3 linked regions of the Drosophila melanogaster genome follow. Changing the gene in region 1 together with any one later gene gives a genetic interaction. Each region holds a gene or a part of one and is shown on either strand. Other genes may lie near its edges.

Region 1 (5,375 bases):
AAAAAATTACTAAGAAATAAAACTGAACGAACAAAAACTGAAAGTAAAATACCACACAACGATATACTTGGTCAGAGGTCATCCCAAAAGAGTAATTCTGCAGTAATAAGTTGCCATTAAAGGTACAAGAAGGAAAATAATAAGAATCTCATGATGTACGTGACCTATTCATCTGTATATTAAATCAAACAAAATAGATTACCTCATTTCGAACGCTTAAATGAAAGTAAAAATGTATTTGAAATACGCCCCTAAGCTTCGCACAAACACTAGATTCCGATAAATACACAAATACAAACCTCATTGCCATATGCCATCAGATGATGTGTGGTTATCAGCGACTTGTAGACGACGACCCAGTTGGCATTCTGTGAACGCTCGATAAGTAAATTGGCCAGATGAGGTATCGACACATTCGGCTCGTTTGTGCAGTGCACCAAATCTGCAATTAAATAAAGGTATGAAACTTATATTAACACAAAGCAACCACAAACTAATTTAACATTTTACATTGATTTAAAATAATAAATGAAAATCATTTTATTAAGCATAGCTTTATATTAGTTTCTTAACGCATATCCATACAGTAGATTAGAAAACAATAAAGAACGTTTTTTTTTTTTGTAATTTTCGGTTAGTGAACCATTTGCTCTTTTCCTTAATTTTGTACGTCCAACTCAACTTTACTTTTGGTTGCGATTAACTTTGACTTGATATTTATTTTCCCAAGCATTTATTGGAAAAATCAATCAGATTCGATATAACCGCCGACAACTATTAGTTATTATCCTCTAGATTTATTCAACAGTATATTTTTTTTACGAAAACTTAGTTCATATGAGCAAAACAACAAATGTTTACATGTTTAAGAAGCAACATAAAACTTTAAAAGTCAATTTATCTGTTCCAGAAACAAACAACGTTTCTGTAAAGATTATTATTATTATAATAACCGAACCTCCCATAAATTTAATCATCTTGTTTTTTGCGTCCCGTTATCGGTCGCGACTCTTAGTCGTTGTTTGCTTATCTGCGCTTTAAGCTTGCAGCCGCCATTCAAGCTAAATACTGACGGAAAAGTGTCGATGATAAGAGCTGAATCCCATTGTGTCTACTATCATGCGCTTCCATTTGAATCAATTCCCATTTCGGTTGGAAAGTGTTTGTCGCCGAGCAAGAAAAAATTGCATGGGATTCGAGGGGCGTTGCACATTTCACAAGCCATCGCAGATGTTCGCCGTCCTTTTGCTTCATTTTGTTTGGCTGACGGGCGCCAGGCCAGTGATTCATTTATACATAAATAAGAACAAATTTCAATAAACAGTAAATGTGGAAAATTGATCGGTCCTTGTAAACGAAACTGGTGAGTTTCTTAACGAGCACAGTGGCCTGGGGGTGTCACTTTATGACAAAACGTTGAAATCGCTGAGTAGTTAAGACATTTTGAATGAGTTATTTAGTTAAAATTCGTATCCGCCCTTTTTGAAATCTTCACTGATTCACATATATTTCGAAAATATTTACAGTGCTCGGATACCAAAAGCGATTGGCGACTTCTGTAGCGTAGTTATCGCTGGGGTCAATTCGCATGCTTATGCTCTTAAATACATAAATAAATAAATGTGTCGGGTATCGAGACTCCACTGTAGTGGGGGACCATTGATACTTAATTTTAATTATTATTGCCCACTTGTGTAGCTGGTTGAAATATTCTGGGATCTTTTCAATCGGTGTAAAGCTCATTAAGTGCTGTTGTTTCCGTGAACACACAACTGGTTTTATCATAGGACAAAAGTTGTTAACAAAAGAAAATAGAGAAAATAGGTAGAAGAAATATATTTCATGCTACCTGCTGACGTCTTGTAAAATGTACGGACTGACTTTTAACTCAGGTTTAATTTATTTAGACTTTTGGTAACTGAATTGAGCATAACGTTTTGGATAAAGTAATCAACTTGAATAAACAGCACATGTGGCCAAATTTTGGGTTATATTGGAAATTGGTTTGCGGCAACTGCAATACAATGTTTATGTGACAAGTAACGCCCCACAATATTGCCCTCTTTTATTCCCATTTACTCGTAGCCATATCTGATGAGTCATCTGAAAAGTGCCAACAAGCTAAATAAAAGGGGGTCAAAATGCGAGCAAAACTAGCCAAAAAAACAGATTCCAACGGGAATGAATGTCGTTAGGATATGGAGCTCTTTAGAAGTATTTGCAAAATTCAAACGTGTAAGCAAATCCAGCAAATTAGGGAAGACTCTTGCATAAATTTAACAAGCAATGACACCGTGACAAACACAATCCCTGCTTTCGTAGGCGTTTTAAGCCATTCAAAGCCCCTACAAACACACGTGCACCCGTGGGAAAGTGACGTAACATTAGAGAGAGAGAGAGAGTGTGTTGGTAGAAAGAGAGGGGAGTCCAATCAATGACGAACGGAGTCCACAAACACCAGCAGCTGAGCCACAGATGCAATTTGAGGGTGGTGGTTTGTGTTTGTGGGACTTTGTGGACCGTAATCAGTGGTTTCGTTTTCAGAAAACTTTGTGATTTATCGCACAAAAACAAAAGGCACGTGAAAATGGAGCGAGGAAGCCAAGAAACCCGAACTGGTTGCATCTGAATGTTGTTGCTAAATTACTTTTGCAGCGTACTAACTGTGCCGATGGTTTTTATATTTAGGCTACATTTAAATTTTTTATTTTCTTTGCTAATTTGTTAGGCACTCCTTACTTTAGTATATTATTCATTCCAATTTTTATTATTATTAAAATTTAAGTTAATTTCTAAACAGATTTTATTGCGACTTATGTTTGCAAATAAAAATAAATTAATTTTAAAGCGTTACAAAGTAACAATAATATTTTCGTGTGTTTGATGGGTACATTTCCACTAGTAGCACAAGGCTGTGCCTCTTTTCTCTCTGTGTTATAACAAGGAAATGTAACGGTGATTTACGCAATGAAAGACCAAGAGAGTGGGCAAGGGAAAGAGATAGACAGGGCAACTCACAGTCCAAGTGCTTCTTCTTCGGGCCAATGCATTCCTCCGTGGTGGCCTTGCAAACGGACTTGGCGAGTCCTTGGCCCGCAAGGCTGTGACGGGCGGCCAGCAGCCTGTCGTTGATCGTTTGCCCTGCCATGGTCATGATGAAGCTGTTGCTGTTGTTGTTTCTGCTGCCGCTCGCTGGTTTTTATTTACTTGATTAATTTAATTATGCACCAAAGGAGCTGACCACACCGACACACACACACACTCGAAAGCAGATACAGAGAGAGGGAGAGAGAGACACACACACACACGCGTATGGGGCGAGCGAGAGACAGAGAGGTATTGATTGATTGAGAATATTTCGAACGGGAAAACTCTGCTATGCGAGCCTCACGATTAAACTAACAGTAAAGATTTAGTGGTTCCTACGTCACAATCACTACACAATTTATCGCCGCGGTTTATGCGCTCTCTAACCGGTGCCTAACGCTGAAACGCGATTTTTTAATTCTCTATTTTTCCTCTGCCACAAATCGATAATGGCGACTGGCAAATGGAGCGAGCGTATGAGCAATGTCCTAAAGCGTCCACAAAGTGGAGCTAACGCGTGCAATCGACTTGAGTTTACGGCGTTAGGTGGGAAAATATCGATTGCCATAACGTAAGCGAATACGAAATAGCTGAACTTAGCTTTTACGATGTGTTCATATAAGTTCTGAAAATAAAAAAAAATAATGATAAATAAATAAATAAAAATATAAAATATTAAGATACTATAAATAAATCTTTTTTTATAACTTAGCACTTAAAATTCCCCAACAGCAGTTAAAAAGTAGCTAGATTTGTCGGAAGTGTAGCCAAACGTAACGTAAGCTAAGGGGCTGTCAACAGGAATTTTTAGTTTCGAGTAGGCGGTCATACTGGTCATTAAAATAAATAAAATTATACTAAAAAACAGTAGTTAGCACAATCAACAGTCTCGTAATAAAATTGTAAGATGTTGAATGGACAGATTGCACACAGTTATTTGGAGAACTCGTGCACGCTGATCATACCCCGCCCGCCTGTCCTGAATCAGTCCTCAAAGTCGGCCCAGCCAGCAGCAGCTGCTGCTGCTTCTTCTTCCGCTGGTGAGGAGTTTGGTCAGGAAGCGGGGTCGGGGTTGGCGGAAGCGGAGGCGTTGCATGTGGATCGCATAAGAAACTGCGATATATTCGTTGACGCGCACGATCTTTATTTCTACGCAGATGTTAAGCTGTACAAGTGAGTCACATCCGGCAATCTGTCGTGCCCATGGTGGGCCATGGTGGCGAAATTCCAGCGATATCATTGCGTACTTGTACTCCCTTTTCGGACAGATTCCACAGCCGTCGCACCTTCGACTTGCGAGAGCTGAAGACGCTGTTGATAAAGTTCAACACGACAGAGAATCACTACCAAATTTGCCTGCGCTGTCTGCCCCTAACAGCGGGTGCCCAGGAAGGACCCGGTGGAGAAAGAGGCGGAGGCGGTGGTACGGGGGATGCAGCCAAGCAGTGGAATAGTCGCAAAGAGTACATAGCCGCATTCCTGCACCTACCCACACTGAGTGCCAATTTGCCGGACAAGCAGCCTCTGGTGCAGGAATGGAAACTCAAACGAATCACCGATCAGTGCCAATTGCAGCTCGACGACCACGAGCGCACCTACAAGCTGACCAACAATTTTGGGTACGGCTATGCTAGCGAATACAGCGGACCGCTAGACCTGAGTGAGGTGAGTTCAATTGGTTAACCTGCTCTTCCGCGCACTAAACACAGATGTTTTCACAGTTGGACAGAGCCACGTGCCGCGTGTCGGAGCCACATCGCATGAGCCCCATCCAAAGGCGGCAAGAGCGCGTGGTCGATGAGATGAAGCGCTTTTCCCGCGAGCAGTACAAAATAAATTTTGTGGAGCTACAGGTTCCGTCCGGTCACCAGAATCCTTTACGCTACAAACCGAAAATCTACGAGACTTCCATGACCCAGGAGCAAGCGCATCTGCTGCACAACATCAGCCGAATGCAGACACGGGAGCAGCAGCCGTGCGACGTTTTTCGGCAAAACGAGATCGATTGCGGGCTGATAAGCATTCTGTTGGCCATATGCTATGATGTGCGGACGACGAACAATGAGCCGACGTGTGAATCGGGCTGGACGCGAAGCATACTGTGCCCGCTTTATTGCTACTTTGAGCAATTCGACAACTATCGGGACGTACTGGTTGCCTTCCTGCGGCGAATGATCACCTACCCGCTGTACCGCAATTTCGAGTTGGGCCGCCAATGTGTACGGGATGCCATAGAAGTTTTAAAGGGCGGTCGCAACTGGTTAATTAATCAGCTGCTGCTAACGCAC
Region 2 (5,617 bases), about 16 Mb from region 1:
CGAGGCGGTATCAATGTGGATTTCACCCAGTGCAGAACCACTGGTTTGACCACCCGAGGTGGGTGCACCACCAGTACCAACCACCATTGTACCGCCAGTGGCGGCAGCACTAGTGCTCTGCACATCCTGCAGAGCTGCCGTCTGGACACTGCTATTCCCGGTGGTGTTGTGGAGATTCATTACAAAAGTGCTGCCGTTGAATCTTGGCGGAAGCTTGCAGCCCCCTATGCCATTGGCCATTCCCCCCAAGGAAGGATCGTCGAAGTTTAGGAGATCCTCAATGCGGGGACTCAGTCCTTTACGATTTCCATACGGGTTGTGATCCATATCCAGGCGGTGTACCGTCCGCAGCATCTCCAGCTCCCATCCATCGCCATGGGTGCCCAATTCCAGCTGCGAGTCCCAGCGATGGAGCAGGTAATCGGGATTATAATGCAGCAGACTCAAGGCCAAAGCCAGCTGCAGCATTTTCATAGCGTACGATTTTTTGTTTGAGATCATTTTGTTGCTTTCAGAGGTTTCGATACGTGAGCGAATGGGTGCGTGGGTGACTCTTGTAGTCCGTAGTCCACCTCCGCCCGCCGCCTCCTCCTCCTCCTCCTCCTCCTCCGCTGCTGTTGTTCTTGTTGTTCTCCGTCCCGGACAACAGCTCTACGGCTGCGTCGTCCGGGATCTATGCGTTCAATGACGTCGCCTTGCCCCGCCTTCCGGCCTCCTCCTCCTCCTCCTCCTTCGGCGTTCCGAAATCTGCGCAAAAAGCTGAAAATTCGCAGTTTCCACGGCCTATCTCCCCGATTTTCCAATGCTCTTTGCTTTTAATTGATGGCTGTCCTCGGTTTTGTTCTGTAAGCAAATCAAGATGTGACAACAAATAGAATGGAATTAGTAAGCATAACGATTTGCTAACTATATGTACATATGCAAGTATGTAGATATGTAGTGTAATATTCATACATTGCCGCATGGCCATATATGCAGTTTGAATGTTAAATGAAAATGCTTTTGTTTCGAGTGGTGCAGCCTTTGTTTTGTTTGCCAGTCGATTTTATAAATTGCTAAGCACGAGGAAGTGCACCAAAGAAAGTTCAACTTCCGGGTCGGTAACGTCTTTTATTAAAAACACATCTAATTTCCACATCGCGATTATATTAGGATTCATATTTATTTAGCAAAAACGAACACAATTATGTTTTTCTGTTCGCAATTATGTAGTTAAGGTACATAAGTAATACTTTCGAGAGATATTAAAATAAATGAAAGATTGTCGTAAGGAAACATCCCTTATCTCTATTATTTAAACTTGAAATTATAAATGTGCAGAAACACTAACAAGGTTTTGCTACAGAAACACAACACATAGTTTGTTTTCATACCAAACCAAAGTGGATAGCCTAGAAAGGCTGTTATGATGATGACCTAGCGCATTTCAGCATAGTTAATTTCATATTCAGAGACAATTAAGCAGGTCAAGAATCGAATTTTCCGAAATATGTGTGTATAATACATAAATACATATATGCATGTATCCTTCTTTGGTTGTTGTTTTGTCCGAATTCTGTTTGATATCCACAACGCATTTAATATGCCCATCCTGTCCAGCCACACACACACCCCCCCCCCCCTTAAACAAGGTTAACAGACAACCGCCCACCCGAAAAAGGGGGGCGTGAGGCGGAAGGAATGACCCAGACCCAGACGAAATGGCTTTGAACTTGAACTTGTTCAAGGTCTCTCGCGAGCATTTGAAATGTGCGCAATGCGAAGTGAAGCACCCGATTCAAGGACGGACGAAAAAATTGTGTGCAAAATTCTTTCAAGGTTCGATATAAACTTTCTTTGTTTAAAGCCATTTTAACAAAAATCCAAACTTTATTTGGCTCAATTCTCAATGAAAAGATGTGCGCGAGAGAGAGAAAGAGAGGGGTAGGGAAATGACGTGTGCATGTGCGTGCAAGAGAGGGTTCTTGTGTGGGTGTGCGTGTGATTGTGGCTGTATTGCAGTGCACTCACCTCAAATTTTTTTTGGATGATGAGACCCGACTACAACGGTAAAAAAGCTGCGGCGCAGTAAATGTTCTCCTTGTTGTTGTTGCCGTTGCTTGATCTTCTTTTCCTCTTCGCTGCTTCTTCTTCCCTGCAGCACACACAATGGTTTATTGTTTACCGTTCACTTTTCTTTTGCTCTGCAAGACCTTATTTGTTTATGTTTCACTTTCTACGATTTTTACTTTTAATTGCTGGAAAACACGCGTTTTATTTATTTAACAACTTTAAATATATATTTCGCTTGTCTGCGTCCTTGAACTTTCTCTTCTGCAGACAATTTGCATTCAAGTGCCATTAAATATTAATAACAATTGATATTTGATTATGTGCCACCTGGTGCTTCTTTCTCGCCGTCTGGTACGCACTTTTGTGTGAGAGTGTGTGTGGTGGTGGTGCCGTTTTACGTGGTGAAATCGTCACTTATTTGTTAACCCTATATTGGACCTACGTCAAATTAGAATTTGAAGTCATTTGTATGTTAAGATTTTCAAGACAGCTGTAAAATTATTTAACTACGTTAAGGTACAAAAAATTGTCAAGTCCATCAAGGGTTAAAACAATAATATTTTCGCTTCGTTTGTTGTTTTTACACTGCCTAATATTTGCATGTGTTTTGCCTCCACATTGCTTTGTATTTCTTTGTTTTCTTTTATCGCCCGATTCTCGTCTCTCTCTGACTCACACACCAAAAAAAAAGACACGCACACGTTGAAGCATACAACTGCTGTTTTTTCTTGCCAATTCCAATTCGGTCTGTGCCCACAATTAATGCAATTAATTAAATGCAAAACGATTTAATTTTTTGCTGAGAATCGCGGAGAGCAAAACAAATAGGAAAAATGAAATATGGAAGCTTCGAGAATGAGCAGAGAATAACCGGCAACGGCAGCATTTCAACATTCACTCTGCACTTTGCATCAACAAATTATTTATCAAATTGCTAGTTCCTTTTCGTTCCCTATTCTTTCTAACTCGATGTTTTTCTCGATTGCATTCTGTCAGCTGAGCGGTGGAGAGGGAGCGAGAGAGGGAGACTGAGCGCGAGAGCGAGAGGGGGCGATTGCTGAATAACTGTTGTTGCTAGCCTGTTGGTCGTTGTTGTTTTGATTGCCTTTAACCCACCACCCCCACCGACAGTACCACCACCACACAATGAGTTGCACTTATTTAGTGGGGCATGCAACATTTCGCAACTGTAGTTCTTAAACGCACAACCGAAACTTTTTCATTTGTTGTTCCGGCACACAAGCACACGCAGCCAGACACGCACACACACACACACACAATTTAAGCGGCGTGTACTTCGCACCTTTACGCGTCTTCTTTCACTGTTATTTGGCAAATTATTGTCGCGTCCGCTTTGCTACTCTCTTTCGCCAACCGCCGTACCTACGTGGTGAGCTTGAAAACGTGTTTTGTTTGTTACGCCGCGTTTGGCAATTTCTCCGCCGTCGAAATCAGTCGCGATTTTCGATTGCGGCCTCAAAACATTTGAGGCAAAAAACGTCTGTCCAGCGCGGTGCTTTTATCAAGTGTGCCCAGTTGAGGCTCTTTGCAGACGATTTTGTTGAGTTTTGTGCTTTTGCGGTTTTTTTCGGGGCCGCCAAGTGCGGTCTCACCATAATACATTGTGCTTTTAACAGAAATGTTAAATGTAGCTTAAACTAACAGTGACAGAAAGAGCTTTTTAAAGGAGAGCTAGAAATGTAGATTTCGGTTACAAATGTATCTTTATTACCTACCTTTTATTTCTAGATTTAGTTTTTAGAAAGAATATCTTAAGAATATAAAGAACATATTTATATTTTCCCTAAGAGTAACTTATGTAGACATGGTGGCTATTGCAATTTTATGTAGATATGGTGTAAGCTTATAAGCTTTTGACACGTGTCCATGCAAATTTTTCAGTTAATTTGCATTAGTCATTTTTTTAACTAGTTCTACATAACAAAGTTGAAATTTGTATTAAAATTAAAAATAAAGGGATATATATAGTTTTATATTTCCTTAATATTAATTTAAAATAATTTTTTTTCATGATATTGATATTGATATTCTACATGCATGCAAAAATACAAATATCTTAACAATAACTTCCGTTAGCTATTGATATCACAAATGGATACATTTGTATTAGACTTGCTCAATAAAACAGATAGCCACACTATTCAGAACGTGTAATTCAAAATATAGCTAGAAGACTATCAATCTATCTAAAAGACCTGCTCATAAAAATTAATTTAGATTGATGGGGGTAATTTATAGATATATTGCGTTCTGAACTGGGAACATTTGTGCTGGCATTTGGATAAAGTAATTAACACCGAAGCCTTTCAATACTTACCAGATTGGTAAAATGGAAGCCACCTTTCCAAATGTTGGTCTTGGCGTTACCTGGCGTCGTCGATTGGGTGATGGATGGCGTTGGCTTGGCCAGTACAGCGGGCGTGGAAGCCACCGTGGGCTTAATCAGCTTACTCAACTTCGAGGGTGGTCCAATGGGCACCCGGACGGTGACCTTCTTCTTCGGATTCAGCTGCAATTGGGTCTGGTGGTAGGTATATTCGATGTCCTTCGCCGGGGACAAGGATTGCAGCCGAGGCAGATCCTCTAAGTCGATCATTATTGCTTATCAGCTGGCACAAATGGTGATGAGTCAATATGTCAACTGGAATGAAAGCGAACACACAGATAAGGATGGGTCACTAGGTTGACTAGGCTTTTTTTTAGGATGGTGGTTTTGAACTTAATAATTCTGTTCCGACATTAAATATAAACAGTTTGTTTTCGGCGTATAAGAAAATGTGTTTTTACTCATTTTGATCAATGTGACAGATCAAAGATATAATAAATTCATATATATTTTAGTAGCCATACTCGTGTGATTTTATTTTTAATTTCTTCGAATTCCCTGCTAGTAACTTTATCGAACTTTCACTGTAAATGAGCTATAAAAACTGATAAGCGAACTTCGACGGGTGGAATTCAAAAATGAGATATAGCCAACCTAATGGTTTGTTTTATTTGCCATTTATTGAGAAAATTACACACATTCACACAAATTCAAATGTAGATAAGTACAGTGGATGCCCAACAACAATATCAACTCCCACGAGAATCCAGAAAGATAACCGCGTGGAAACGGCATTCATTATCTATCAATTGATTTGGGAACAAAGTATTAGGTATCAGTAACCATAGAGGGATTTCTCCATTGTACACAATACAGTGGGCCCTGCCTTGGAAGAATGCAAATTACATCAGCCAATGTTCCACAGGGGGAATTTTTCGATTAGATTGGGACAATAAATGAATCATAAAATAAATTAAATTGGTCGCACTTCTAAATTTTGGGAATCAGCCATGAGTCCCTGCTATAAATTTAATCGACAGGTTCTTTATAGAAATTGGTCAAAAGATTCGTACTTATTTGTTAATCTTTTCTTCTTTAACTATTAAAATCTATGGTGTTAGCAATTTTAAATGACATTTCTATTTATAAGAAATGTACTTAATTGTGTAGACTAATCAATATTATAATTTATTTGCTCTTTTTCATAACAGCTATCAT
Region 3 (5,369 bases), on another chromosome or scaffold:
TGCAGCAGCCAACAATTGCGTTGCTGAAGTAGGCAGTTACTCTTGCAGTTGTGTTTCAGCTTTATGAGCGACAATTAAAGTTAAATGCCTCCGCTTCGAAGCTGCGGATGTTACTCGCTGGTTATACTCAAATGCATACGTGCACATGTTTTGGTTTTTGTTTTGCTTTTCGAAAATAAATACATTTTAATGACTACGCTCAGTGGAAGTGGGATTGTTTTTTGTGGTTTAGGAACACGTTAAAATGAGCCAGCCAACGAGAGAGTTTAGTTTAAAAAATCAGCATTTTGACAAGATTCAAATTTTAGGCGCACAGCTCTGGAAAGATTCAGTGCAAAGATTCGGACAAAACGTAACGAAATCGAAATAAAAACCGAGCCAAACACAAAGCTACAACAAAATGCAGTGCTTTTTGGCGGCGACAAAAAAGTACACACACACAAAAACCAAAAAGGGAAGAAAAACAGAAACAGAAACAAACAAAATAAATAAATCAAAAGGAGTTCAACGACCAAAAGTTTAAATGATTTCCGACTGCCAACGAAGAGAAAGAAGCAACGCCGAAATCGCTCACCAGTCAACGAGGGAACGCGATCTTGGGGAGGTGATACGAGGACGGTGATAAGGCCAAGCCAATTGACAAAACGCTCCCCACAAAACATTTGAAACATGCTGCTGCGAAACCAGACACAAATGCCACATTGGCGTTTAGAAGATATGTATGGAATCAGAACCATTTCTGAAAACCGAAACATAACTTAAACATAATCGACAATTGTGCAGCAGATCGGCAGAGAGCACCGTCCATATTCAAGATTAATTTCCCCGAGGGGGTGGTTTCGGTTTCGGACTCGTATCTGCATCTATATCTACATCGATGCAGCCAGGAAGCTGTTTTCGTTTGCTCAACCGCCCACGCGCCGCATGGAAAATCAGCAGCTCTGCTACTGCGGCGCATCAGCCGCCATTTGCGGCTGATAAATGAACGCATGTTGTGCGTATCTGCCAGATACAAATGCCTGCAGTTCGTTGCGGCCTTTGCTCTTCCTTTGTTTCCATTCCACTGCTGCCTCTACTGTGCTGCGCATTTTTAATGAGCGGAAATTAGTTGGCATTGCGGCAAGAGGTTTTGTGGCTGCCCATTTGAGTAGATACAAATGTATCTGTAAGCCATAAATTTGCAATCTATGAGGCACGTGCCTCGTAGGCCCCTTACAAGACTGGCACTTTGCTGTTCTGTACAATTATCGGAACGATTACCTGTCAGATAAATTCAGCTCAATCGGCTATTAGCTTTTTCCAGATCTCGCTGAGCATTGCAGATTTGGTTCATACGTTTATCATGATTGGGATGGGCTGCATTCTATTTGTGTCTTACGGATCACACTTTTGGATCACTTTTTGGCAGTACAGCGCGCGTGTATATTTAGAGAATTTTCTTTGGCTCAGACTTGGCACAGCCAGCCGGTTCGCAGATACACTTTTGCATTTCCCTTTATAGTTAGGCAGTGCATCTAAGAAATACATTTGGCAGCTTGCATTGTTAAGACGCTTAATGATGCCATTAAATACGTCGATGAAAAGGGGACGGGGTAAGCTGCTATTGAATGTCTTTATGGCGTATACTAAAGGTGTTTATGCAAAAAGTTTATTTTTTATTATTGTTAAATAAGTCTTATTGTGTTCCTTAAAAATTTTAAGTTTTCAATATATTTCATAAATTAGATACGACCATCGTGCCTGCCTTTGCATTTAAATAAACCTCAAAAAATCTCAAATTACGACTAGAATTTAGAACTGTCGAAGAGCAACGTACTTCCCTATCGCTGCAAAATGCCAAACTTCAGTAGTGTGCCCACGACATGCACTCACCTGTCTGATGACTCCGACGAGTCGTACCGATCTAGACATCTCTTCTTGGACCCCTTTGTGCCACGTTCTCCTCCAGTTGTTCTTGGGGCTGTTGCCACCGTTGTTGTTTTGCCGACTCCCACTCGAGATGTTGTTGCAGTCTTCCTGGCGCCCTGGTAGAGCTGAGATCGCAATGCGTTTATATCCAATTTGGCGGCTTGGGCTCCAAACCCGCCAAAAACTCCGCCCACCCCCCGTTTGGTACCCTGCACGATTCCAATAGTGCTGGGCGAGGTAAAGGGCCGAGCGGGTTTGGCCGGGGGCTTCAGTTCAATATTGGAGGACAGAGACGGGCTTTTGTTGATGGGTGGTGTGGGTGGTGGGCTTTTGGGAGTAAGTATCGGGGAGGCGGTGGTTGTACTGGCTGGTGCTGTTATAGGTGGTGTGGCTTCTGGGCTACTGTTGTTGCCGACGCCGGCGCCAATTGTCAAACTGTTTGTATTGACGCTATTTTTCAGCTGATCAAACAGTGACAAAGCCGCGCTGGAGGTTAAAGTTTTCCGTCCCGTTGCTCCTGCTGTTTTGACAGAGAGTGGGGCCAGAGGGGCTGCTACTTCAGCTGCCGACTCCTTGGTCTTTAATGCCGTATCCTTTGGCTGAGTGACTGACATTTTCCCTCTATGTTTGCTGCACTATTGCTATAACGACGCTTTTAATTGGTGTTAACTGCTGCCAGAACTCTGGATCTGCTTTAGCACACATCTGCTATTCCCAACGGCTTATTGTTAGTCGACGGAAAGCCAATTTGAATTGCATTAATCTGAAAGTTGCTCGTCAGCAATTTTTAGCCGCACTGCCCTTAAATGGTGTTACCATTCCGATTTTCCCCATCAGTTTGCACAAATTGGTATATATATATCGCCATGAACTTGCATTTTACGACTTTCGTGGGTCGGACTATCGAGTTACGAGAAGTAAAAATATTTATACAAATTAAACAAAAATTCATTTAAATCAATTGCACTTGTATGACTTTTGGCATTAAGCTGCACTTCACTTCTGCACTTATGACACACATTTTTCAATTCGATTGATATTTCAACGAGAAACTACTTGATCATCATAAAATTAATCGACGTCGCGGGTTCGGTTTTGATTTGCGTGGGGTGGTTGGATTTGCGATCCGTTACAAAGTGTTACACTGTGCTTTATGGATTTGTGAATGGCCAGTAGTTATTTCACTGTCGGTTGTTTCCGGTGCACACCCGAAATTCATTCTGCAAGATTGGCCACGCGGTGCTCGCAAGTTCAAGAAAGCGACAATGAAACCGAATTCAAAACCGAAACGGGTAAGTCAGGTTAACCTCCTAGTCGCTGTGACTGCGAGCCAGCTTTTGTTTATTGACAACAATGACGGGCGAACAAACACATCGCAATCTAATCAAATGCATTCCAATGTGCCTCAGCAAACTAGCGATTTACTTATCGCGGGGCCAACTTGTCTGCCGCGCGTACCATTCATAATTAATGTAGTGGTCACTGCTCTTAATAGCCGCCAATTGCAGTATAACCAAATTAAACAAAGTCTAAGAAGCGCTGCACTGCAAGCTAAGAATTCCGAAACGCCATCGATTGGCAAGCGAAAAACTGCGATCTCCCCACGAAAAAGCTGCGGGCTGCTCTTGCTCTGCCTGCCGACTGACTGACGAGTGGGGCCAAGTGGAGTGGGAGTGGACCGAGCGCTGCGGCCCCACCCGAAGAGGTAGCCGACGAGAAGCGAGGCGGCGGACCGAGTGCCAGCCGAATGGCTTAGCCAACTAGAACCGGGCACAAATCAAGATACGAAGCACGCGAAGCAAGAACGAAGGCAACGAACTGCCGTTCGTTTTAATAGGGGCTCTCCGACGAGCTGAGGGTGAAGAGGAGAAGAAAGGGCCGCGTGCAGTGTGTTCACTTTTGATTTCTGTGCAGCGGCAGCAGGTTTTCGAGAGCGGGACCAAGAGAGAGGGTCGCGTGGGGAGCTTGTTGCGCTACAATGTGAGTTCTTTCTGTGTGTGTGAGTGTGTGCATTTGAACTTCTGGGGAAGTTCAGAGATTCCGTATTTGAATTTCAGCATTTGGCGGCTGGCTAGATGGGCAGCAACTTCCGATGTGTCCGCGGTGGCAAGTTCGCTCACACACAAGCGACCCAAGCTGCAGCTACCTGTTGATATGTGTGGGAACTAATCAGAATACAAGAGGTTCCTGCGGTTCGATAAAACTCAAAACCGGTTCATCCAAGCGAGCATGGTTATATGGGAACTTGAGCTCGAATTTGAAGCTAAATACAGATGTGTGGAGAATATGCACCCATAACCAATACCTTGGCTATATGTATCTGTTTTGGCCCACACTTAATAAGGCCAAAAAAGTCAAGAACAAAAACAAAAAAAACACGAGTCTTGTATAAAAAAAGATAAAAGTAAACAAAGTTATGGCAAAAACCAAACAATAACAAAACAGCAAGGCAGCCAGACCAGCTCTCTCACAAACACAATCTAAAGTCGCAACTGTTTTTAAAGACCAAAGAAAGGGAGGGAGCGAGGAATCAAACACAACACGTGCTTTTATTACGCTACAAGCAATGGTACGTACGTCTGTGCGATGCAACTGAGGGAGACTGCAAAAACAGGAGGGACAAAGAAGACATGTTTACGCGAGAATTTTGCGGGTGTGTGCGAGTGCGACAAAACTCGTTTGGTGTCCAGTTTTACTCTACCAATAAAATGTTTGTTCCTATTGAACGTTTTACACTGCACATACTTGGGATCACTTTAATTAAGTGAATGAATTCATTTCCGAGGAATGCATCTAATACAATCAAAATGTTTTAGCTCACAAAAGCTCTGCAAAAAATAGCTCACTCAACCATTGTAAATGCAAAAATACACTGCGTAAGAGTGACAAGTTAAATAAGTTTATAAGCTTGCGTTCGCATTTTGCGCTGCATTTTCCGGAAAGCTATTAAACTGCAGCAAACGGAGAGAGAGAGTGAAAATAGGATTGAGACAATTGAGAGAAAAACAACCATAATGCTGCATTCATACTTCGCTGAATATTTTTGTAGATGCATATACATATGTGTAGATAATATTAAATTAAATTATTAAATATAAAAATAAAATATAATCAAACATTTCCTCAATAAAATATCTAAGCTGGCAATTATACTGGAGCCCATCACAATTAAAAAAAAATTATGGGTCTTTTAAATGCTCTCAGTGTAAAGCTCAGATTGCCACAGCATACAGCTTTTGTCAGCGATTACGTCCAAATAAACAGTTATGCCTTTTCAGTATTTTTATAGATAATTCCAAAATTACATAAGTGGGCATGTAAACTAAGTAAGGAATCAAACCAGTTTAAAATTGATAGCGAACTGCATGATGTTCCTTGACCATCAACGGGAAAATTGGTTAACCAACGCAAAGTCAGTTTAATTACGATAAAAAAATAGACTCATAAATAATCACATATCT

The links. Genes that interact genetically often act in the same process or in processes that back each other up.
Region 2: of lap (region 1) and cnc, changing one enhances a phenotype caused by changing the other (phenotypic enhancement), as found in Drosophila melanogaster (one study listed by BioGRID).
Region 3: of lap (region 1) and jing, changing one enhances a phenotype caused by changing the other (phenotypic enhancement), as found in Drosophila melanogaster (one study listed by BioGRID).

The regions. Positions count from the first base shown.
Region 1 is NT_033777.3:7,185,191-7,190,565, reverse strand, and holds the start of lap (like-AP180), read right to left. Parts: upstream 3,573-5,375; 5' UTR 3,155-3,572; coding exon 3,019-3,154; intron 443-3,018; coding exon 300-442; intron 1-299. Other genes in the region: CG10055 (uncharacterized protein), read left to right, coding at 3,995-4,260, 4,356-4,752, 4,809-5,375. UniProt on the Drosophila melanogaster protein: Assembly protein recruiting clathrin and adaptor protein complex 2 (AP2) to cell membranes at sites of coated-pit formation and clathrin-vesicle assembly.
Region 2 is NT_033777.3:23,218,407-23,224,023, forward strand, and holds the start of cnc (cap-n-collar), read right to left. Parts: upstream 3,556-5,617; 5' UTR 3,440-3,555; exon of another isoform or gene 3,356-3,439; intron 2,491-3,355; exon of another isoform or gene 2,238-2,490; 5' UTR 2,011-2,237; intron 844-2,010; 5' UTR 502-843; coding exon 1-501. UniProt on the Drosophila melanogaster protein: Plays a role in posterior cephalic patterning. Probable subunit of a heterodimeric regulatory protein involved in the control of head morphogenesis.
Region 3 is NT_033778.4:6,500,192-6,505,560, reverse strand, and holds the start of jing (jing), read right to left. Parts: upstream 3,556-5,369; 5' UTR 2,523-3,555; coding exon 1,873-2,522; intron 1-1,872.